Xenopus tropicalis: one gene and its partners. The protein of the gene in region 3 interacts with the protein of the main gene of each other region in a biochemical or structural test. Links are inferred from orthologs where the notes say so. Each region holds a gene or a part of one and is shown on either strand. Other genes may lie near its edges. The genes, in order: gabarap, wbp2, nedd4, pmepa1, map1lc3c, map3k5 and sgk1.

Region 1 (3,930 bases), about 53 Mb from region 3:
CCATGTTATACCCCAGTCCTCCTCTCCCCATGTTATACCCCCCAGTCTCTCCCCTTGTTATACCCCAGTCTCTCCCCATGTTATTTACCCCCAGTCTCTCTCTCCCGAGTTATACCCCCAGTCTCTCTCTCTCCCATGTTATACCCCCAGGTCTCTCTCTCTCCCATGTTTAAAACCCCCAGTCTCTCTCCTTCCCATGTATACCCCCAGTCTCTCTCTCTCCCCATGTTATACCCCCAGTCTCTCTCTCTCCCCATGTTATACCCCCAGTCTCTCTCTCTCCCCATGTTATACCCCCAGTCTCTCTCTCCCCATGTTATACCCCCAGTCTCTCTCTCTCCCATGTTATACCCCCAGTCCTCTCTCTCCCCATGTTATACCCCCAGTCACTCCCCATGTTATACCCAGTCACTCCCCATGTTATACCCCCCATCTCTCTCCCCATGTTATACCCCCAGTCACTCCCATGTTATACCCCCAGTCTCTCTCTCTCCCCATGTTATACCCCAGTCTCTCCCCATGTTATACCCCCAGTCTCTCTCTCTCCCCATGTTATACCCCCAGTCTCTCTCTCCCCCATGTTAAACCCCCAGTCTCTCTCTCCCCATGTTATACCCCCAGTCTCTCTCTCTCCCCATGTATAACCCCAGTCTCTCTCTCTCCCATGTTATACCCCCAGTCTCTCTCTCTCCCCATGTTATACCCCCAGTCTCTCTCCTCTCCCCATGTTATACCCCCAGTCTCTCTCTCTCCCCATGTTATACCCCAGTCACTCCCCATGTTATACCCCCAGTCTCTCCCCATGTTATACCCCCAGTCTCTCTCTCTCCCCATGTTATACCCCCAGTCACTCCCCATGTTATACCCCCAGTCACTCCCCATGTTTATACCCCCAGTCTCTCTCTCTCCCCATGTTATACCCCCAGTCTCTCTCTCTCCCCATGTTATACCCCAGTCTCTCTCTCTCCCCATGTTATACCCCCAGTCTCTCTCTCTCCCCATGTTATACCCCCAGTCTCTCTCTCTCCCCATGTTATACCCCCAGTCTCTCTCTCTCCCCATGTTATACCCCCAGTCTCTCTCTCTCCCCATGTTATACCCCCAGTCTCTCTCTCTCCCCATGTTATACCCCCAGTCTACCCCAGTCTCTCTCTTCCCCATGTTATACCCCCAGTCTCTCTCTCTCCCCATGTTATACCCCAGTCTCTCTCTTCCCCCATGTTATACCCCCAGTCTCTCTCTTCCCATGTTATACCCCCAGTCTCTCTCTCTCCCCATGTTATACCCCCAGTCACTCCCCATGTTATACCCCAGTCTCTCCCCATGTTATACCCCCAGTCTCTCTCTCTCCCCATGTTATACCCCCAGTCTCTCTCTCTCCCCATGTATAACCCCCAGTCACTCCCCATGTTATACCCCCAGTCACTCCCCATGTAACCCCAGTCACTCCCCATGTTATACCCCAGTCTCTCTCTCTCCCCATGTTATACCCCCAGTCTCTCTCTCTCCCCATGTTATACCCCCAGTCTCTCTCTCTCCCCATGTTATACCCCCAAGTCTCTCTCTCCCCATGTTATACCCCCAGTCTCTCTCTCTCCCCATGTTATACCCCAGTCTCTCTCTCTCCCCATGTTATACCCCCAGTCTTCTCTCTCCCCACGTATATACCCCCAGTCTCTCTCTCTCCCCATGTTATACCCCCAGTCTCTCTCTCTCCCCATGTTATACCCCCAGTCTCTCTCTCCCCATGTATACCCCCAGTCTCTCTCTCTCCCCACGTTATACCCCAGTCTCTCTCTCTCCCCACGTTATACCCCAGTCTCTCTCTCTCTCCCCATGTTATACCCAGTCTCTCTCTCTCCCCATGTTATACCCCCAGTCTCTCTCTCTCCCCACGTTATACCCCAGTCTCTCTCTCTCTCCCATGTTATACCCCAGTCTCTCCCCATGTTACCCCCAGTCTCTCTCTCTCCCCATGTTATACCCCCAGTCTCTCTCTCCCCATGTTATACCCCCAGTCTCTCCCCATGTTATACCCCCAGTCTCTCTCTCTCATGTTATACCCCCAGTCTCTCTCTCCCCATGTTATAACCCGCCCAGTCTCTCTCTCCCCATGTTATACCCCCAGTCTCTCCCCATGTTTACCCCCCAGTCTCTCCCCACGTTATACCCCCAGTCTCTCTCTCTCCCCATGTTATACCCCCAGTCTCTCTCTCCCCATGTTATTACCCCCAGTCTCTCTCTCCCCATGTTATTACCCCCAGTCTCTCTCTCCCCAATGTTATACCCCCAGTCTCTCTCTCCCCATGTTATACCCCCAGTCTCTCCCCATGTTATACCCCAGTCTCTCTCTCTCTCCCCATGTTATACCCCAGTCTCTCTCTCCCCCCATGTTATACCCCCAGTCTCTCCCATGTTATACCCCCAGTCTCTCTCTCTCCCCATGTTATACCCCCAGTCTCTCTCTCTCCCCATGTTATACCCCCAGTCTCTCTCTCTCCCCATGTTATACCCCCAGTCTCTCCCCATGTTCCTGCCCCAGAGGAAGGTTCCTGCCCCAGAGGAAGGTTCCTGCCCCAGTAGTTGCCCCGGGGGCAGTATGTCACACACCGGGACTCGGTCGGGGTATTTCTTGCGGATTTTCTCCCCCTCGGAGCGGCGCTTCTCGAAGGGATGTTCCTCTTTATACACGAACTTCATGGCGGACTCTCCGGGCGGTACCGGTTCGAGACTGCGATTGGAGTTTCGGTTCCTGTTGTTTTCAGGACTGACACTGACAGGAAATAAACAGGCCGAGCCCCGCCCCCCACTTCCGCATCGTGGCTCCGCCTTCCCAACGTCAGCCGCTGCGTCATATCGGGCCCGGAGCTCTGTAACCATAGCAACCGCCCCTCCCGCCCCTTCACTCACTTGTGCGATTGGAACGGAAACCTTTCAGTCTGTTTCATTCTGTTTGTGTGAGAGAGAAGTGAGTGTGAGAGTGAGTGTGAGAGTGTGAGTGAGAGAGCGTGAGTGGGAGTGTGTGTGTGTGAGTGTGAGAGTGAGTGTGAGAGTGAGTGTGAGAGTGAGAGTGAGTGTGAGAGTGAGTGTGAGAGAGAGAGTGAGTGTGAGAGTGAGTGTGAGAGTGAGTGTGAGAGTGAGTGTGAGTGTGAGTGTGAGAGTGAGAGTGAGTGTGAGAGTGAGTGTGAGAGAGAGAGTGAGTGTGAGTGTGAGAGTGAGTGTGAGAGTGAGAGTGAGAGTGAGAGTGAGAGTGAGTGTGAGAGAGAGAGTGAGTGTGAGAGTGAGTGTGAGAGTGAGTGTGAGAGTGAGAGTGAGTGTGAGAGTGAGAGAGAGAGTGAGTGTGAGAGTGAGTGTGAGTGTGAGAGTGAGAGTGAGTGTGAGTGTGAGAGTGAGAGTGAGTGTGAGAGTGAGTGTGAGTGTGAGAGTGAGTGTGAGAGAGAGAGTGAGTGTGAGAGTGAGTGTGAGTGTGAGTGTGAGAGTGAGTGTGAGTGTGAGAGAGAGAGTGAGTGTGAGAGTGAGTGTGAGTGAGAGAGCGTGAGTGTGAGTGAGAGAGTGTGTGAGAGAGAGAGAGAGAGAGAGTGAGTGTTAGTGAGAGTGTGAGAGTGAGTGTGAGTGTGAGTGAGAGAGCGTGAGTGTGAGTGAGAGAGTGTGAGAGTGAGTGTGTGTGTGAGTGTGAGAGTGAGTGTGAGAGAGAGAGTGAGTGTGAGAGTGAGTGTGAGAGTGTGAGTGTGAGTGAGAGAGCGTGAGTGTGAGAGTGTGAGTGTGAGTGAGAGAGCGTGAGTGAGAGAGTGTGAGTGAGAGAGTGAGTGTGAGAGAGAGTGAGTGTGAGTGAGAGTGTGAGTGTGAGAGTGAGTGTGAGTGAGAGAGTGAGGGTGAGAGTGAGTGTGTGAGAGTGAGTGTGTGTGTGAGAGTGAGTGTGTGTGTGTGAGA
Region 2 (4,279 bases), on a different chromosome or scaffold from region 3:
GGGTACTCACCCGTGCGGCCCGTTCTCGCACGCCTCCTTGCGCGCGCGTCCCGTTGTCCGCGGGACATTGCGCACGCGCGTCCAGGTGTGTGTGCGTCAAAGCGCACGTACATGTCAAAGCGTGCACGTCCGCGACGCGCTAACGGCGCCGGTTCTGCGCATGCGTGGGGGGTATTTAAAGCTATCAAACGCCTCCTCCTGTGCTATGTTGTCTGCGGCCTTGCCTGGGAAACTAAGCCTGCCTGATTTACCTTACGACTTTCTGTTGCCGATCCTTCGCTTGCCTGACTCTGATTTTCAATACTACAGTAATTATTCTCTAATTTATTAGGAAATGGGGTTAACACCTAATCATGCATGGAAAAAAAAAAATACCGTCAAATACAGCGACACCGATATCATTTTGAAAAATACTGCAATATAAATTTTTGGCCATACCGCCCAGCTCTAATTTCTACCTCCTTCTGCCGATTCAGCGCTGAAGGCAGATTTTGCTCAGGCGCCTTCTACGGTGCCCAAACAAAATCTTTTAACCGGTCCGATTGGTGAGTCGACAGCCTTCTGTGATATCGGCCGCCTCGCCGAGTTGCCATACACGCACCGAATATCGTATGAAACGAGGTTACGTATATTATCGGTGCGTGTATGGCGGCTTTACCCTGGCAATACCGGACCCACCGTATGTTAGAGAAACGCAACGTAATACTTACCTGTAAGATAACTTTACCTCAACTAATATATACATCGACCAGTTAGAGACCTTCTTGTATTTCCGCCGCTATACTAAGGGGCTGATTTACTAATCCACGAATCCGAATGGGAAAAATTTGGATTGTAAAACGAACATTTTGCGACTTTTTCATATTTTTTGTGACTTTTTCGTAGCCGTTACGACTTGCGCGAATTGTCGCGACTTTCGTATTGAGCGCTCGAAAAAGTCACAAAATACCGATCATTACGAAAAAAAAACACTTTTTGGACGTTCGTGGGTTAGTAAATGTGCCCCTAAGTGTAAGAAGGGGCGAAGCAACTACGCGGGGAGTATGAAATAGCTTAATATCAGCCCTGTGATAACCTCAATTGGGATTGTATGAAATCCTGTTAGGAGAGGTTTGTAGTGAAGTAGTATGTTTAACTAACTAATTGGCCGATATAACTGTACAAAATAAGATTGGATATTCCCCATAAAGTAGAATTTAACACTTACTGCCCTGAATAGCCGCCCAAACACAGCGCTACATTGGTAACAACCGTAATACACGGAGCAGCTCTGCGCCTCAGCGCTAAGTGATCGTTACAATGAAGTATTAGCAACGCAGAAACACAACTACAACATTAGCGCCTCAAGCGGCCATGGTTTATTTTCAGTGATACACGCCCCCTAGCGATCAAGAACACATGCCAGTCATAGATCCCTCAGCCAATGAGCGGCCGGCCCTACAGCAGTGGAACCGCCCAGACTGCGTCTCAAAGTGCGAGAGACTCTTCGAGCACGGTGATTGGCTGTTGCTAGGCTGCGGAGGTGTGACCTTTTTATCTCCGCAATATGGCCCTTAACAGGAACCACCTGGATGGCGGAGGTGCAGTAATTAACAACAGCGAGAGGTAGGACAGCGGCTAAGTAGAGAGACAGTCGCGGGAAGCAGTCAGCGAAACGTTAGACGGACCCCCTGCATGAATATGGGTTCCGGGTATCTGTCATCATATATGGGGCGGAGCTTGGACATGACGAGCAGGGATTTGTGCCAATTATGGAGCTGATACAGATACACCCGCCTCCCTCTCTTTGCCTGTCTGCTGTACTATTTGTATAATATTGTGTGTGTTTTCCTATTCCCAGGCACAATATACTTAATTCTATCAGCATATCTATATATAATATGTCCCACATGTATCCCTTGTGAGATTTACTTACTAAACCCCCTTTATTATTATTTATATTATTAATTTAATATAATATTCTTATGAAGCACTTACATAATCACATGATACAGTGGAGGGGTGTATACAGTGCTGCAATATGTAGGAGATATTTAACGCTCAGACCCGGGGAAGGCAGAGTGACCCTGGAGATTATAGGAGGCCCCATAGGGCACTGACTGATAAGCAGTTTTAATAGCTTTATTATAAAAAATGTCTTATTCCTAAAGTTTATTGGGGCGCTAAAATGATTTTGCTATAGGGCTCAGTTATGCCACTGAAACCGCGTATCATTCAGTGTTCTGTTGGATCTCTTACGGTGTCGGACTGGCCCACAAGGATAGCAGGAAAACTCCCGGTGGGCCCAGATGTCAGTGGGCCCTCCTGCTCCTCAGCATTTGGCCTGCTTCATGGTCATTCCCTGTTTCTGAATGGGAACAAAGAAGAGAAATAGATGGAAGAATAGATGCTAGCATGTAAATAAAAGAGACTAGGAGAATAAAGAGGTTGGGTGAGGAAAGGAGGAAAAATAGTTTGGAAAAGCGGCCTGGGGTCTAAGGTTTTCTGGTGGGCCTCTGGGTTCCCAGTCTGACACTGATCTCTTATACCTTGGCAGTTGCAGGGTCTTCTTCCTCTACATTTACACCCTTGGGCACTCCTCTTATTCCTCAAACAGATAGTCAGTTTGGCCCAATATCATGAAGATGCACAATAACCACCCCCCACACACACCACACCCCCAAGGGGTCCCCATCATCCCAAACCCCCCAGTCTGGTGGAGGGACGTCAGTTCAGGAACACCAGCAGGGATCGAGGGGCCCGCTTGGTTTTTTCCCGGTGTCCAGCTGGCAGTTCGTCTTTGACTACTAAACTGCACTGTTCTCATTGAACTTGCCCTTTATTATCTTCCAGTATCCTTACTTCTTATGAACATGTGGAGGTCACATTTAGTGACATGGACAGCACCCCAGAGGCTTTCAGAGGGACCAAGAAAGGCAGAGTCATTCTGACACCATATCGAGTAAGTCTGCCTCCCTTTTCCTTCACTCATTAGGTGCAGTCTGACTCATTGGCACCATGGAATAAACTGCTAATGTGCAACTAAACTTTCCATTAGGTCAGAGAAGACACTTGGGGGTTATGTAATTAAAAAAACTAAATTTGCCCAGGAACAGTAACCCATAGCAACCAGTCAGCAGGTAGAATATACTTATTGGTTGCTGTGGGTTATTGCTATCAGGCAAACTTAAGGTTTAATCGAGTGGATCATTTCCACCTAAGGTGGGCAAAATTTGGCTAAATCGATTGTTTCGCCACCTGCCCATTTTTATCCAGATATTGGTTGGGTAGGCCTGCTGGGGGGCCCCATGGGCAGATAAGCGCCCGAAACGGTCTGAAGGACTCAAATCGGCAACTTAGATTTGCCAGTGTATGCCAAACTTTAGTGTCATTTATTACATATAGGGCTAGTGCCCTTCTACACCTCCTTAATAAAAGTCACAGAGGGGATCCATGAACATATAAAGGCGGCACAAAATCACTTTAATACAGGCCCTAAAGCTTTGAGGTGTCTAATATTCTCTCATTTTATTCCAAGGGGGTACATTATTCTTTCAGTTATTATTATTTCAGTGAGTCATGTGACACAGATTCTAACCTATTTATAAGCATATCTTTTACGGCTCTTGTGTATTATGCATGTGGGTGAGGCTAATTTTGCATCCACAGGTGATATTTGTGTCCAAAGGAAGGGACCCCATGCAGTCGTTCATGATGCCCTTCTATCTGATGAAGGACTGTGAAATTAAGCAGCCCGTATTTGGAGCCAATTTTATCAAGGGCAACGTGAGAGCTGAGCCTGGAGGTGAGCAGTGTTACTATCTGACGGATACCTATGCGTTCTAGGTCCCACTTCAGCTCCTGGGACACCTGCCTTTATTTTTTGCTAATATAATTTGCTGTAGGTTAAATATATCTTTTAATCTGGAATTCATTTCTTTGCCTGCAGGTGGTTGGGAAGGATCTGCTACATTTAAACTAAGCTTTCCTTCAGGGGGCGCTATAGAGTTCGGCCAGCACATGCTACACGTGGCCTCTCAAGGTGAGCAGGGGGTATCTGAAGTCACAATCTCTTGACATTTAGTCTGGACTCCCAGGACTACCTAGGAGAGCAAATACACATTTGCCACAAGCCCCACACCTCGGGGAAAAGATTTAAAGGGAAATCCCAATGGGTCAGAAATTCTGCCTCAGCCTTTGCAATGCACTTTTTCCTTTACCCATTTTTATAAAATATGGTTTCTACTCGCCCTTGTAGCCTCAAGTGGAGGAGCTCCAAATGTTGCCTACCCATATATGC
Region 3 (3,500 bases):
AGGGAACTCATCATTGAAAGATAGCAGTCAGGACAGGTGTACAAAAAAGTATCCAAACATTTGATGGAGCGCAATAAAGATAGTCATCAACAAGTGTAGAAAATACAGCTCAACAGTGACTGTACCAAGATCAGGACATGTCTCTAAAACTGATGTGAAGGGAGATACTGGTTGTTCCCTATATATGACAACAATCAGTCGTATTCTTCATATGTCTGGGTTCTGGGGTAGTGTAGCAAGATGATAGCCTTTACTCATAGAAGATCAAAATCCAAGCCCGGCTTAACTTTGCAGAAGGTATACCCAGTCTCCCCCAACCATGTGTTAAAATGTATTATGTTCTGATGAGACCAAGGTTCAACTATTTGGCCATAATTTCAAAAGGTTTGTTTGGCACAATAATAACACAGCACATCATCATAAGAACACCATACCCACAGAGAAGCTGGAACCTGTGTTTTAGTCAAGGTGGTTGGAATCATAAATAGCTCCAAGTATCAGTCTATTTTGTCACAAAACCTGATGATGATGAGGAACTTCACATTTCAACATGACAATGACTCAAAGCATACATAAAAATCAACAAAGCAATGGCTTCACCAAAGGAGGATTGGTCTTCTGGAATGGCCCAGCCAGAGCCCAGACTTACATAGGTATTTTACAAAGTACAACACTCTGCGGGTCTTTTCAACAAGACCAAAGTGTATTTTTTGAACCTGCAGAGTGCTGAGCTTTGTTAAATACCTAATAGGCACCAAGGTGCCATTATTTGCCAAATTGTGCTTGTCACTGCAGTAAGCTGCATTGCATAAGGTCACATTTGGACCTAACTACAGAAATATATGGCAACTTCCCTCAAGTGATGGTTCCCTGGTCTTTTGGGGAAGATTCTTTTTGTTGCATTCTGCACAGGAATCTCTGGCAAAATAGAATGTAAAATACTAATATTGTTTAACCATCTCTTACAGCCTGGATGGGAAGAAAGAACTCATAATGATGGAAGAGTATTTTACATTGATCACAGTAAGCTATTTTTTGTATTTACTTTTTCAAAATATTTGTTGTAAATTGCCTATAAAATAAAATATAATTTGTTTTAGACACAAAGCAAACACAGTGGGAGGATCCACGCTTACAAACTGCAGCAATAACTGGACCAGTAAGTATCATGTTTATTACCAAACCTTTTCGATTCTAGTTATTTGTTTAGAAAAAACTCAATATAGGTACACATAGGTATCATTTACAATGCACAACACATTGTGCAAAACAAAGTTAAAAAAATGGCCACAATTAGCCATTTATCTACCATGTTTATGCACCTTGCATTGTACAAACAGCAACAGTCCTCTGTGTTCTCTTGCATTAGTTAGCACTGTATTAGTGAAGTGAAGGCAGGGGGAGGCACGTAGATGTCCCCTCTACCCGCCCCCTACCTTGCGTGTCCCCCTAGCACCCCCTAGGAAAGTAAATGACCCCTAACCTTAATATTACTTGTATTTCCATTAAAGAAGATTGCTTTCATAAAGCAGATTTTATGTTTATTCCTTTACATTATGCTAATGTGTGTTCACATTGGCACAAATGCAAATTTATATCTTAAACAGCAGTAGGATTGGCTAAACCACACATTTATCATCTTTTCATGCAAATTTGTATTCAATGTTCAATTCTAATATGAATGTCCTTCCTCCTTCAAGGCTGTGCCTTACTCCAGGGATTATAAGAGAAAGTATGAATACTTCCGGAAGAAATTAAAGAAGCAGGTAATTGTCTCCCAGTTTTAGCACTGTATGCAGTGGCATAACTAGATTTTACTGGGCCCCAAAAGATTGGTAAATTGACCTATATCAAGAGATATTGAAATACCGTATATACTCGAGTATAAGCCGAGTTTTCCAGCACTCAAAATGTGCTAAAAAAGGAATCCTCGGCTTATACTCGAGTCAACTAGTACCAGCGCATCAGTTTCAGGCAGGATGCAGACACGTTGAGCCGCTGGCAACCCCCCAGAGCCCCTCCTGCGTCGCCCGAGCACTCGAAATCAAACAACTGCATACAGGCATCAACCTCCCTCCCCCGTGTCTCTCCTACCGATGTGCACGTCGCCTGCATGTCACTCTGTGTTGCGCCTCCGGATGCTGTCCCGAGCTCTCACAATCCTGCCAAACTTACTAGTACCGGCGCATCAGTTGCAGGCACGTCACGCCCGAGTACCCCCCTCCCTCTGCGTGTGCGTGACGTGCCTGCAACTGATGCGCCGGTACTAGTAAGTTTGGCAGGATTGTGAGAGCTCGGGACAGCATCCGGAGGCGCGACATAGGACAGAGAGTGACATGCAGGCGACGTGCACATTGGTAGGAGAGGCACGGGGGAGGGAGGTTGATGCCGGCAGCGCGACCTGCCTGCATGCAGTCCACAAGAGACAGTGCTCGGGTGACACGCATGTAGTCAGTAGGAGATAGTGCTCGGGTGATGGGGGGGATGCCGCTGGCGCGACCTGTCTGCATGCAATTGATAAGAGTCAGCGCTGGGGTGACACACGGGGGTGTGAGGGTTTTGCTGCCCACGCGACCTGCCTGCATGCAGTCTGTAGGAGAGTGCTCGGGGTGACACGGGGGTGGTGAGTTGCCGGCAGTGCGACGTGTCTGCATGCTCGCTACAGCCACGCAAAATGTTGTTTTGAATAAAAGAGAATCACAGCACAGTAAGTTGTATCTTACAAAATGGTATTAGAATTTACAGAATTTATTGGCTGAGAGGGCATGTAGGAAGATATGAGGTAAGCAGAAGTTTTGATAATTGGAATTTCTTATGGTATCAGTTTTGCTTTTCGATGTGTAGAAAAAACTTATTATTGAAACTTAGCAGTAGCGGCTGCATTTCCCATCCTAGGCTTATACTCGAGTCAATACGTTTTTCCAGTTTTCTTAGGTAAAATTAGGTACCTCGGCTTATATTCGGGTCGGCTTATACTCGAGTATATACGGTAGCTCATTATTAGGGCCTTACTGTGACCTCTTCATTCCTTTCTCTGTAGTTTCTCTGACTGTATATGTGGAAGGACCAGCTTATGCTAATACATTGTTTCATGGTGTAAGCAATCTCATGTCATTTGAGGCATTAGAAAGGCATGCATCTGACATTTTTGCTTTAATATCAACCCCAAAGATTGTTAAATGTGTGTCCAACACATTAAGCAATGTTGAGATATTTGGTTAAAAATTCCAAAACCCTCTATTTATATGTGTATATATTTATATAATGCTACTTATATTGTATTATGTGTGTACTGAGCCTTTAGGGACATCAGTATTATGAAGTGGCTCAGCTACTGACTTTCCCTTCCAAATGTCAAATATGTTAGAATTACTCACAGCATAGCATCTACATGTCTCACTGGGTGGGAGCTGCTAAGTCAGATTGGGCTATGTGCGAAGTTTGCTATTTTGAAATTCTTAAAGGGACACATTCATCAAGTTACTAATGTTTTATTTGTA
Region 4 (3,060 bases), on a different chromosome or scaffold from region 3:
AGCAGCGGCACTAACACGGGCAGAGAGATGTAGTTCAGCCCCAGTGGAGCGGCCGCTGATGAAGCGGAGAGGAGTAAGGGATATAAGCACTACAGCAGCAGCACTAACACAGGCAGAGAGGTGTAGTTTAGCCCCAGTGGAGCGGCCGCAGCCCCGGCACTAACACAGGCAGAGAGGTGTAGTTTAGCCCCAGTGGAGCGGCCGCAGCCCCAGCACTAACACAGGCAGAGAGGTGTAGTTTAGCCCCAGTGGAGCGGCCGCAGCCCGGCACTAACACAGGCAGAGAGGTGTAGTTTAGCCCCAGTGGAGCGGCCGCAGCCCCGGCACTAACACAGGCAGAGAGGTGTAGTTTAGCCCCAGTGGAGCGGCCGCAGCCCGGCACTAACACAGGCAGAGAGGTGTAGTTTAGCCCCAGTGGAGCGGCCGCAGCCCGGCACTAACACAGGCAGAGAGGTGTAGTTTAGCCCCAGTGGAGCGGCCGCAGCCCCGGCACTAACACAGGCAGAGAGGTGTAGTTTAGCCCCAGTGGAGCGGCCGCAGCCCGGCACTAACACAGGCAGAGAGGTGTAGTTTAGCCCCAGTGGAGCGGCCGCAGCCCGGCACTAACACAGGCAGAGAGGTGTAGTTTAGCCCCAGTGGAGCGGCCGCAGCCCGGCACTAACACAGGCAGAGAGGTGTTGAAGCCCCAGTGGAGCGGCCGCAGCCCGGCACTAACACAGGCAGAGAGGTGTAGTTTAGCCCCAGTGGAGCGGCCGCAGCCCGGCACTAACACAGGCAGAGAGGTGTTGAAGCCCCAGTGGAGCGGCCGCAGCCTGGCACTAACATGGGCAGAGAGGTGTAGTTCAGCCCTAGTCCCAACGACAATGTTCCAGAGTTTGGGAAGTTTTGGGGCAGTTTGAGATTTAACAGGTTACATGTCTGTGGGGGGGGTTGTTTCCCTAGCGTAGGCCTCCCGTGTTACATGTCGAGGTTATCGCCAGGGCAAATATTCCTTCGCCCCTTGGCTGCCAGTGTTTTTGCCCTCTGTGTACAAAGCCCAGCGAGTCCCAGAATTCGCCATTTCAAAGGTCAGTGTGAGCCGGTCAAGCATCAAACATCCAAATAAAAGGCCTTGAATTCCAATGAGGGAGCATTGAAATGAGCCTGTGTTTTCCCATTTTAGCGTGTCCCTTTCTGCCCGGCTTCCCAACACGGCACCGCCGCCCAGCAGAGGCGTCGCGGGCGGCATAAAGACGTCTGTTCATCAGAAATTGGCATCGGTCACACCGCAGCCGCGGCCTGATGTGTGACAAGGGCAGAGGGGTGTAGGGTCCCTGGGGTGGGGGGGTAACCCTCCTATTCTAGATACTGATATTATGAGGGGATGTCGTTATTAACATATAAATGGGGCACATACTTTTGGCCTTGCGTCTACGCGTTGCATGAAATTACCTCACGGCTTAGGATTCTCCGTCAACAAAGGCGGAATTTTATGGACAAAACAAAATATGTTCCTCTGTAAATGGCGCACAATGCCGGGATGAAGATGTGGCGCCCCATGAATACCGCCAAATCCTCCTAAACGCACCAAAGATACTTAAGTTTCATTAAACAGGTTGTACCCATAATGCTTAGATTTGTCCGTTAGTTCATAATCTCACTAACGACCTCATTCAGGGGCTTATATGCTCCATTGGCCTTAGGTAGTACAATATCAGCCCAGAGCATTCCTTCTCTGTATATTTGTATTTATACATATGGGTAGGGGGTGCCATAGTGTTTCCCTTTGACAGTACAGTATGGGGGTACAGCTTATTGTGTGCCCAGAACATTCCTTCTCTGTATATTTGTATTTATACATATGGGTAGGGGGTGCCATAGTGTTTCCCTTAGACAGTACAGTATGGGGGTACAGCTTATTGTGTGCCCAGAACATTCCTTCTCTGTATATTTGTATTTATACATATGGGTAGGGGGTGCCATAGTGTTTCCCTTAGACAGTACAGTATGGGGGTACAGCTTATTGTGTGCCCAGAACATTCCTTCTCTGTATATTTGTATTTATACATATGGGTAGGGGGTGCCATAGTGTTTCCCTTAGACAGTACAGTATGGGGGTACAGCTTATTGTGTGCCCAGAACATTCCCTCTCTGTATATTTGTATTTATACATATGGGTAGGGGGTGCCATAGTGTTTCCCTTAGACAGTACAGTATGGGGGTACAGCTTATTGTGTGCCCAGAACATTCCTACTCTGTATATTTGTATTTATACATATGGGTAGGGGGTGCCATAGTGTTTCCCTTAGACAGTACAGTATGGGGGTACAGCTTATTGTGTGCCCAGAACATTCCTTCTCTGTATATTTGTATTTATACATATGGGTGGGAGGTGCCATAGTGTTTGAGGGTATATATATGGGTCAGATGCTAATCAAGACATCGTGGGTATAATTGTTAGGAGCTTACGTGCTATTGGCTGGAGGTTCATTGTGTAACTCACGGAACTGTCTCTGTGTTCTCTCCGCAGCGGAGCTGGAGTTCGTCCAGATAATCATCATTGTGGTGGTGATGATGGTGATGGTCGTGGTTATCACTTGTCTCCTAAACCACTACAAGCTCTCGGCCCGATCCTTCATCCACCGGCACAGCCAGGGCAGGCGGCGAGAGGAGAACCTTTCCTCGGTAAGTCTCATACTTACAGCAAATCCTTTTTAGTCAAAGAAAATGTGATTCTAACCAACTTCCCAATATTAGAACAATAGTTTTTTGGCCGCCGGGGTCAGTGACCCCAATAATAAAACACGTTCTACCTAACACATCTCTGTTTCCTTACCCAGGAAGGAAATCTTTGGCCGTCAGAAAGCACAGTGTCGGGAAATGGAATCATAGAGGTAAGAGGAAATGCATTCACCTATTCATGCACGGAATTAAAGGGGAACTACGCCCAATAACTGTCAATTGTATAACAAAACAAAAATACTATTCAAAGGAACTTCCTAATCTGCCGTCGTTCCAGATTCTAAGTGGGTTTATAGTTGTGTGTAAAGGTCATTGCTATTGTCTGTCGCTGTCTGTCCC
Region 5 (2,730 bases), on a different chromosome or scaffold from region 3:
AGTGTGGATCCAGTTTTGGCGGCGAATATGAAAAGTGGTAACCTAACTGAAGGGAACTGTTATTATAAAAAAACTCCTACTGAGAATTGGAACTGACGTGTGACAAGTAAAATTGTGATATTTATGATTGTACTGGTGTGACAAGAGTTAATAAAGTATTTGGGGATAGACAACAGCTCCCTGCACCTTTACTGGAGGAACTGTGACATAGGAAAGGACTCTTGGTGAGAGGAAGGCAAGTTGTTTTATTACTATGCTAACCAACTTGCACTTCTCCCATGCTCTCAGCATATCACGGTGATTACAGTACTGATTAATTGGCCTTCCAACCACTCAGTAAGTATTCTTTCTCTGCTTTGCCAAACCCGGCAAATCCACTACCATTCAGAATAAAATATGAACTAATAACCCTCACAATTAAAGCACTCCATAACTCTGCCCCACTTTACATCTCTGAACTCCTCTCCAGATACTTGCCAAACCATTTGCTATGCTGCTGTAATGACCTGCTCCTGATAACCTCTCTCATTACTTCCTCGCACCCTTGCATTCAATACTTTTGCAAGAGCTGTACCCCTTCTCTGGAATTCTCTACCATATTTTGTTGAATCTCTGTCTCTGAAAGATTTCTTGAAGGACAAGGAAAGGTTAAACAAAAAAAAAAAAAAAAAGTATAGCCATGGCATGTAGATATACTATGAAGGATTTCTCTTTAGGAGTTATTCAGAATGATTATTCACTTTTAAAATAAGTTAAAAGATGCTGTGGAAAGTTTATCTTCTGTACCAGAAATGAGCTGATTCAGGGTACATGCATGCACATTTAATCTCTCAGAAGCTATGGGCAGGTGCAGAAATGTATATTATTTTCCTATTCTATTCAGGGTGTCCTAATGCCTCCTGCTTTTAGAATGTAAGCTCCTTTGGGCAGGGCCCTCTTTACCCTTCATATTTGCTTTTGTATGTTAAATATAAACACCCATTTATTATACAGAATGTGAAGGCATTTTATAACATAACCACTATATTACTGTTACCATACTACTAATGATTCTTATTGGGTACAGAAAAAAATCTTTAAATGTGTGTTTTTTCTTTGTGCAGGAATCGCATGAACTTATCTGCTACACAAGCATTTTACCTTCTTGTGAATAACAAGAGCCTTGCCAGCATGTCACTTACGATGGCTGAGCTTTATAGGGACCATAAGGATGAAGATGGTTTCCTATATATGACATATGCATCTCAAGAGATGTTTGGTTGAATGCATATCACAAAAAAACGAGGACAATCTTTGTACTAAGAGGGGCCCAGATATGTACATGTGTAAATTCTAGACCCTAGTATTATATTATTATTTAAATTTACACCTTAAACATTTTTGGTCATTATTATAACATGGGCTGGAACTTAGAAGTATATGGCTATAGTGTACAATACTTTTTATTGAAATGTTTTCACTTAAAGGAACCTTTTATGTATGTTAAATATTTATTGAGCATCCTTTTAGAAAAGTCAAAAGATAATGCTTTTGTAAATTTATTGTAATAAAGGATTTAAAATATTTTATTTTTACAGAATTTTTTTGCAGATTCTATGTAGTACTAAACACAACTGTTTTCTCTAACTTAGAACAATTTTGTTTTTAGATAGACTTCCCCTTCACATGAAATAGTATTTGGGGTTATTGTGTATAACAGACTTTGCTCTGCACAGTATAAGTCAGTAGCTGCAGAAGCATAAAGTACTCTCTGCATAGAAAGGGCATTGACGGAATGCTTTTGCCTCTATATATTTCTTGTAAGACCTGGGCTTGGGTATGTATTGCAGCTTTGGGTACCACATCAAAATGTATATGTATTAATAACATGCAGCTAAAATTAATGGGCACGTGCTATTAGCAGAGAAGAGTTTGTTTTCTGTGGGGAAGAAGAATTTCTAAGAAGACACTTTTTTTAACACTGAAAAGAAAAAAAGAAGCCATCCCTTCTTTCACCTGAAGCAGTACAAATGGTTATTCACTGTTAGGACAGGGTGGGCTGTAAGGTTCCTAGGTTCTTTCTGGCTGTTTTTTTGTTTTTTTTTTTACTTCTGTATTTCCAATGTGCAATAGTGTATTTGTGTTTATGAAAAAACTCTGGCCAATCAAGAGGTTTTTGTTTTACATATATCACAAGAGGTTACTGCACAAAATCAGTCAGCCTAATGCTAAATAAAATCTCTTCATAAAATAACTACTGCCTTAATTTAACTGTGGAGGGTGTCAAAAATAGTTATTGTTAATTTACTGATTTGCCTATTTACCAATTAATCCAACACCTGGATATACTGCCTGATTATGTATGTATGTATGTGGGATAGCTTGGTTTGTATTGGCTATAAACAGGAACAGATCATAGTTAAATCTGGTTGAAAAAAAAACCCAAGTTCAAATCTTTCCATCGAACCCCAGCGCGCACACCTATACTGACCTATCTATACACTTGCATACATAAACTACAGTATATATACCAACATTAATACTAATTGCACATTTTAGTTTCCCAATAGCCTTGGATATTTTTGTTCAAGAACTCACCCAAGCCCTCCTTAAAAGCATTAAAAGAATCTGCCATCACATCACTAGGAAGGGCATTTCACAACCTCACCGTGAAAAACCACCTACGCTGCTTCAAATGGAAGTTCCGTTCCTCTAATATAAAGGGGTGATCTCTGGTGCACTGGTCCTTTT
Region 6 (3,500 bases), on a different chromosome or scaffold from region 3:
ACCTTTCTGATACAGCTTACTTAGCTTTTGCCTTTCTTCCTCCTATAAATGGGGAAGTTTTGTATTCGTATTTTTCATAAACTAGGAATTCAAGTACTTAGTAAAATATACAATTTGTAGCATAAAAAAATCACTATTAGTAAAAAAGAGCAAAATACAAATAGTAAATGGGCCCTAAAATTTTAAGCTTTTCAGTGGCATTTAAGCACTTCATTCATCTTTACTTTTTCCAGGTACCCAGTGGTTTGTGTGTTTTATAGGAAATTCAGCTCTTCTTTAACAGATAGGGAAGGTACTCAATAGACCACAGCCCTGGGTTTCCTGATATCTACCTCTGTGTGCTATCCCTAAAGAATAGAAAGAATGAAAATATAAGATATATATAAGAATTTTCCTTTTTGATCTCAATATCTTAAATCTTATATTTGATGAATTAATCTTAAATTAGTGATTTTATAGCACTTTTCACATTACACATCATCAGTTACTTCATATTGAGTTTATATAAGGGTTATAAATGTCGCACTTTCCTAAACAATATGTCCACAATGCCATTATTACACTTCTTTCCTGACAAAGTAATTCAATCCCCCCTCTACTTTGCCCTACTTTAATCATTCGGTTGGTGTTATACTATATTATATGTACTTCTTTATATTTCATTTATTGATTAGGGGGTGGTGGCTTTTTTGGCACAGTATTGGTGCTTTAAATGTTTTTGGAGCTGAAAACATCATGTTTCAACATAGAGCATCTTTAGGTTGAAAACTGCCCATGCTGGTGCTGTTAGATTTTTCCTTTTTAAGTTCAGGAAGTGGCAGGTACTGCTGACATAATAATGCACAGAAAACATCCTATGCCCTCAACCTAAAGGAGCTGGTCAACTATTGACCAGTCTGTTTGACATGGAAATCTTAGTGCAGGGGTCCTCAAGCTAAGGCCCGCAGGCCGGATACTTCCCCCCAAGGTCATTTACCCGGCCCCCGCCCCCGCTGTATGCTCACCCCTGGCTACTACCTGTCTGCCTCAGTGTGGCCCTCGGCCTCAGTGAGTCACATAACTGCGTCCTACCGCCCAACGCTAATGGCGCTCCATATCTTAAAGACTAACTATAGTTTGGCCCCCCCAACAGTCTAAGGGACTGTGAACTGGCCCCCTGTTTAAAAAGTTTGAGGACCCCTGTCTTAGTGAGTATAGTCAATTTTCATTTTTCTTTTACCAGGTAAATAAAGTGCTACGAAATCATAACATAAAGCCTCACTGGATGTTTGCCTTAGATAATATAATTCGAAAGGCCGTGCAGACAGCTATCACTATCCTGGTACCTGGTGAGTCCCATATATATAGACCCATGTGTTCTGTTGCAAAACTATTGATAATTTGTTGGATACAAATGTTGAGTGTTTGATATTTGCTGAGTACTTCAAAAATATATTCACATTTTCTTTTTTTAGACAATCGTTCTTTTTAGGAATATATGTTTCCCAGAAGTAGTTAACCTATTATCAGCATTGTCCAGTATTACTGCAACAGTAGGTATTGAGCTCACTGAAGAGAAACTACTCCATCATGAAAATTACATTTTAACATGTGGAGATAGTTACATAGTTACATAGGGTTGAAAAAAGACCAGTGTCCATCAAGTTCAACCCATCCAAGTAAACCCAGCACACTTAACCCACACCTACCAATCTATACACTCACATACATTGATAATTGAGGAAAAGCATATGCAATATGCAATTTAACTGTCACTGCTAACAAAAATCCTAAATACTAACTCTGGTGGATGATTAATAAATAATGATAAAATATAGTTAATTTTGCATGGTTGTTTTCTGGATGCATTGAGTATACTTATGCTGTGTTTCACTTGCTGATTATTATCCCAAGCATTATAGATCCTATTCCTGTATTTATCTATTTATTTTGTTTTCATCATTTTCCCATAAGCTTGCAATTGCTATATACATTTAACTTTTCTCTGTGTAATCAGTCCCACCTTCTGTATGCCATTAAAATTTGCTTCACCTTTGTCTTACTTAAAACTGTATACACAAACTTACTAAAATGGCCATTCCTTTCCAATGCTGCTCCCTTCGCTTAACTTACCCTAGGCTCACTCCATGTCAGTGTTGCATAGTGTAGATATATATATATATATATATATATATGTAGTATATTATTACAAATATACTGGAGATTCCACTATTTACCACAGCCAGGTAAATGGAGACAACCACGGTTCTTTTCCAGAGATGAATCAATCTATTCAGATTGTCCAGCCCAGAGACAGCAAATAATACAAAGGTCTTTCGAACGTGCCCACAGGATATGTACTGTAGCCTTCAGAAGATTTCTCCCTGACCTTCCATATATCTTTGTGCGTGTATCTGTCTAAATGTGTAAGAGCTTCACAAGTTAAGGTGGCCATACACGCACCGATATTATCGTACGAAACCTCGTTTCGTACGATAATCGGTGCGTGTATGGTATGTCAGCGAGCCGACCGATGTCGCAGGAAGCTGCTGAAATTGGTCGGCTCTTCGATCGGCCAGGTTAGAAAATTTTGATCGGGCGCCATAGAAGGCGCCTGACCAAAATTCTCCCTTCAGAGCTGAATCGGCAGAAGGAGGTAGAAATCCTATTGTTTCTACCTCCTTACCTGCCGATTCAGCCCTGAATGGTGTGTGGCGGATCTGACGATGTTTCGTGCGACCGATGGTCGTACGAAACATCGTCAGATCGCCACGTGTATGGCCAGCTTTATACTGTTAGAATCTCGCTGACCAAAGTAGGGATTTGTTCTGATTGACAAGATAATCAGGTATCATAATCTTTGTTGTGTTAGTCAGTCAGGTCATTTCCATAAGGATGCTGTTTCACCATAAACAACTGAACAACCCGTTTACTTTGAAATGCTAAGAGAGGTTAGTCACTGCTATTTTTAGAAAACGAGTTCCAGTGACAAGTTGCTTGTTTTATCTCTACATAGAGAAAAATATAAATCGCCAGTACCTAAACTGACAATACCACTTCAAAATGCTTATCACTCCTAATCGCTATGAGACCCTTTTTCGAATGATTTTACAAAGAATTGAATTGAGCGGGAATTTGCTGCAATTTCCCCATTTCACTGAATGTAATTTCTAATTGTGGGCAGGGAATATGACACCTGGATTTGTGGGAAATAGAATTACTCTGTTGTTGAAATCTCTAGTAATCGCTTGTAAGGAAAAGACTTGCTTTTTAAAAATCGCTGCGACTAATCTCTCCGTGGGACATTAGCCTAAATGATATTAATATCATACACTTGTAGGTATGTATGCATAGTCCCCACACATATTACTACAGTCAGTATTTAAAGGGATGGTCCCCCCCCACCTCCTCCCACTAGAAGGACCCTCCCCAAATCTTTACAAGACCAAGCTCATCCACCTATCGGCATCTTTTTGGTCCTTCTGCTTTTTGAAAGCAACATTTTCTTTTTAATCTTAAGA
Region 7 (2,789 bases), on a different chromosome or scaffold from region 3:
TCAGTAATACTGAGTCATAAGACTCTTTTAGGCCAGTGCACAGTTCAAGTTCTGCTTGAGATCTAACCTAAAAATGGGTCTCTAAAACATAACAATAACCATGTCCTTCTGAATATGTTAAAGTAAACTAACCAAGACCCTATCTTATTTACAAATATCCAATGTAATGACATGGGGTCAGAAGGCCCTACACAATTGCTAAACTTTGGATGTTACAGTGTACATTCATATATTCAGATGGCCCTGGGTGGATTTTCATATTTTATGTTTTTGTCCCTTAGCTTGGCAGGCAAGGTAAAATTGAATGAGCAAATGTGTTTTTATAGGATATATGCTTATTTGCATTTGTTTTTCTCTTTCACCAGCCTCCTTTCTACAGTAGAAACACTGCAGAAATGTATGACAATATCTTGAACAAGCCACTGCAGCTAAAACCAAACATAACCAACTCAGCCAGGAACCTCCTGGAGGGTCTTCTGCAGAAGGACCGAACAAAAAGGATTGGTGCGAAGAATGACTTTGTAAGTAAAGTTTCTAAATATAACCATGTGATGTTCCAACAAGGCAAACACGTGTCTAATTACTTTTGATTGGTCTAATCCTATTTCTTCTTCTCTGACAGATGGAGATTAAGAACCACATGTTTTTCTCTCCAATTAACTGGGATGATCTGATTAATAAGAAGATTACACCTCCCTTTAACCCAAATGTGGTAAGTTGTCACTATCTTCATATATAGAAATTCATATGCATAAATTATTTTCATAAAGAAAGTTTTCATGTGCTTCATAGATGCTTTGATCATGTCTATTCCAGCAAAAATTATATAATGTTTTCTTGTGAACTTAGGGGTAGGTAGAGCAAGCAGTATTATAGCTTCCACATTAAAAGATATTGTATAGATAAATAAGCAAAATAGCACTTTTACATATTTACTTACTGAGCACTTCATGACCCAGCTATTGCACATGGGTAACTCCCAGCATCCTCTGTGAAAGCATTCAAATGCATTCCCTTGTATTATAGCAGGAGACTACCAAAGGTTAAAGTACTGGAATCTAAATGTCTATATTGTATTGCAGCATGGAATTATACGTTTTGAATAGACAAGATGCTAGGTTTTTATTTTGGACTGCACCTCAACTGAAATTACAATGTTCTAACAAACCATTTTTCTCTGTTTCAGAGTGGGCCAAGTGACCTGCAGCACTTTGATCCGGAATTTACTGAAGAGCCCGTCCCTAATTCTATTGGCCAGTCTCCGGATAGCATCCTCATAACTGCCAGCATTAAAGAAGCTGCAGAAGCATTCATGGGCTTTTCTTATGCACCACCTATGGAATCATATCTTTGAGCAATCCTTCTTTCTCGTCTAGTAGTCATTTCTAATCAAGTCACTTTGATTTTTATTTCCTTTTGATGAAATTTGCACATCCTTCACAACAGCATCACAGCCTTAATTTCAACATCCCTGGTATTGCTGGAAGGGACGAATCAGTGGAGCTGAGAAAAGGATAGAAAAAAGTGACTTTGGACTTCATACTCTGTTGTTGGGAGAAATAAGAACTATTTGCTGAATTTGCAGCATACAACCCTTATATTATACAGAGGGATACATGAGGGCTTCTTAAGCTGGAAGAAGACATCCAAGTGTGTCTTTATAGTATGGGGCTTTTGCAACGTGCCTTTCTCTTTTGAGAGATCTTGTCTATCATAAGAACCATCCATATGACGTGGGGGCTCTTTGGTTTTGACAGTGGTTTTACAAGTGAACAATGGTATGGGTGTAAAGCTTATCACAGTAAAACTGTGGTTTTGCACACGTTAATGTGACATGCGTTGATCGCTAATTTTGGGGCATTGTATATTTCTTCCATATGTGGAAGCTAAATTAATGTAGATAGAAATTAGTTATTTTTTTCCCTGTAGATAGTACTAACTAAATATATATTGAAATGAGCTTGCAGTGACCTTTGTTAAAATGCTTTTAGGAAAGCATTGCTGCTATTAAAATTTCTATTTTTAGAAATGTTTTGGTTTTTTTTTTCTGGACCAAAATGCCCCACATTTAGTTGTTCAAGGCTGTAATGCCTAGTTTAAACAATTTTATTTATGTTATTTTTTTTGACATTCCAGACCATTATTGTGCATATTGTATATAATCAAGAGATGTATATTTAAACTGATATAAGTGTATGAGTTGAACATGCCAATGTACTGTAATTAATAAGATAAAGTATCTTTTTTGTGACCAAACCTGTGGGTTTGCAATAAAACTTAAAAAATTTATTTTGTTTATTTGTTATAAATAGGTAGATGTGTAGGTTGAAGGTTGATAGTAATATAAACCATTCATTAAAGGGGTTAAAGCATTCCCTTCATTGTATCAATACTAATAAGTATTAATAGGTTTATGGCTCCATGGTATTTTGTACCATACCGACCAACATTTACAAAATAGAAAGAGGGACAAAAAGAACTGCAGCACATTGCAAAACCTGGGACACTGGGAGCAACATCAAAGGTTGGTGAGCATTATTTTGCTCACAAACCACCAGTTGGAGATCACTGTGTTTACCTATGGGCAGGACCAGCTGTGTGAGTTGATTGCGACTTCTAATCACAATGGTAAATTTTCAGAAAATGCTACTGAAATAGCCACATAAGCAAATGTTTTAGTCAAGACATAATGGAGGAACAATGCACGATGCCAAAATTCTGGAAAAAATTACCAGCCTTCCTATTATTATTGCTTTCCTCCCTGTTAATAACATTAGCATCAAACATCA

Evidence for each region.
Region 1: the proteins of nedd4 (region 3) and gabarap form a complex in vitro, tested with the Homo sapiens proteins (2 studies listed by BioGRID and IntAct). The link is inferred for Xenopus tropicalis from reciprocal best matches to the Homo sapiens genes NEDD4 and GABARAP.
Region 2: of the proteins of nedd4 (region 3) and wbp2, one has a biochemical effect on the other in vitro, tested with the Homo sapiens proteins (6 studies listed by BioGRID, with this or other methods). The link is inferred for Xenopus tropicalis from reciprocal best matches to the Homo sapiens genes NEDD4 and WBP2.
Region 4: the proteins of nedd4 (region 3) and pmepa1 form a complex in vitro, tested with the Homo sapiens proteins (2 studies listed by BioGRID, with this or other methods). The link is inferred for Xenopus tropicalis from reciprocal best matches to the Homo sapiens genes NEDD4 and PMEPA1.
Region 5: the proteins of nedd4 (region 3) and map1lc3c form a complex in vitro, tested with the Homo sapiens proteins (2 studies listed by BioGRID and IntAct). The link is inferred for Xenopus tropicalis from reciprocal best matches to the Homo sapiens genes NEDD4 and MAP1LC3C.
Region 6: the proteins of nedd4 (region 3) and map3k5 form a complex in vitro, tested with the Homo sapiens proteins (2 studies listed by BioGRID, with this or other methods). The link is inferred for Xenopus tropicalis from reciprocal best matches to the Homo sapiens genes NEDD4 and MAP3K5.
Region 7: the proteins of nedd4 (region 3) and sgk1 form a complex in vitro, tested with the Homo sapiens proteins (3 studies listed by BioGRID, with this or other methods). The link is inferred for Xenopus tropicalis from reciprocal best matches to the Homo sapiens genes NEDD4 and SGK1.

What each region holds. Positions count from the first base shown.
Region 1 is NC_030679.2:153,336,136-153,340,065, forward strand, and holds the start of gabarap (GABA(A) receptor-associated protein like 1), read right to left. Parts: upstream 2,801-3,930; 5' UTR 2,701-2,800; coding exon 2,611-2,700; intron 1-2,610. UniProt on the Homo sapiens protein: Ubiquitin-like modifier that plays a role in intracellular transport of GABA(A) receptors and its interaction with the cytoskeleton.
Region 2 is NC_030686.2:44,869,609-44,873,887, reverse strand, and holds the start of wbp2 (WW domain-binding protein 2), read left to right. Parts: upstream 1-1,479; 5' UTR 1,480-1,546; coding exon 1,547-1,605; intron 1,606-2,832; coding exon 2,833-2,941; intron 2,942-3,648; coding exon 3,649-3,784; intron 3,785-3,928; coding exon 3,929-4,021; intron 4,022-4,237; coding exon 4,238-4,279. UniProt on the Homo sapiens protein: Acts as a transcriptional coactivator of estrogen and progesterone receptors (ESR1 and PGR) upon hormone activation. In presence of estrogen, binds to ESR1-responsive promoters. Synergizes with YAP1 to enhance PGR activity.
Region 3 is NC_030679.2:100,483,819-100,487,318, forward strand, and holds part of nedd4 (E3 ubiquitin-protein ligase NEDD4), read left to right. Parts: intron 1-968; coding exon 969-1,023; intron 1,024-1,100; coding exon 1,101-1,159; intron 1,160-1,700; coding exon 1,701-1,766; intron 1,767-3,500. UniProt on the Homo sapiens protein: E3 ubiquitin-protein ligase which accepts ubiquitin from an E2 ubiquitin-conjugating enzyme in the form of a thioester and then directly transfers the ubiquitin to targeted substrates. Specifically ubiquitinates 'Lys-63' in target proteins.
Region 4 is NC_030686.2:5,338,580-5,341,639, forward strand, and holds part of pmepa1 (protein TMEPAI), read left to right. Parts: intron 1-2,509; coding exon 2,510-2,664; intron 2,665-2,819; coding exon 2,820-2,873; intron 2,874-3,060. UniProt on the Homo sapiens protein: Functions as a negative regulator of TGF-beta signaling and thereby probably plays a role in cell proliferation, differentiation, apoptosis, motility, extracellular matrix production and immunosuppression.
Region 5 is NC_030681.2:57,421,675-57,424,404, reverse strand, and holds the end of map1lc3c (microtubule-associated proteins 1A/1B light chain 3C), read left to right. Parts: intron 1-1,103; coding exon 1,104-1,263; 3' UTR 1,264-2,230; downstream 2,231-2,730.
Region 6 is NC_030681.2:58,903,864-58,907,363, reverse strand, and holds part of map3k5 (mitogen-activated protein kinase kinase kinase 5), read left to right. Parts: intron 1-1,222; coding exon 1,223-1,328; intron 1,329-3,500. UniProt on the Homo sapiens protein: Serine/threonine kinase which acts as an essential component of the MAP kinase signal transduction pathway. Plays an important role in the cascades of cellular responses evoked by changes in the environment.
Region 7 is NC_030681.2:71,248,924-71,251,712, reverse strand, and holds the end of sgk1 (serine/threonine-protein kinase Sgk1), read left to right. Parts: intron 1-365; coding exon 366-521; intron 522-622; coding exon 623-712; intron 713-1,186; coding exon 1,187-1,354; 3' UTR 1,355-2,289; downstream 2,290-2,789. UniProt on the Homo sapiens protein: Serine/threonine-protein kinase which is involved in the regulation of a wide variety of ion channels, membrane transporters, cellular enzymes, transcription factors, neuronal excitability, cell growth, proliferation, survival, migration and apoptosis.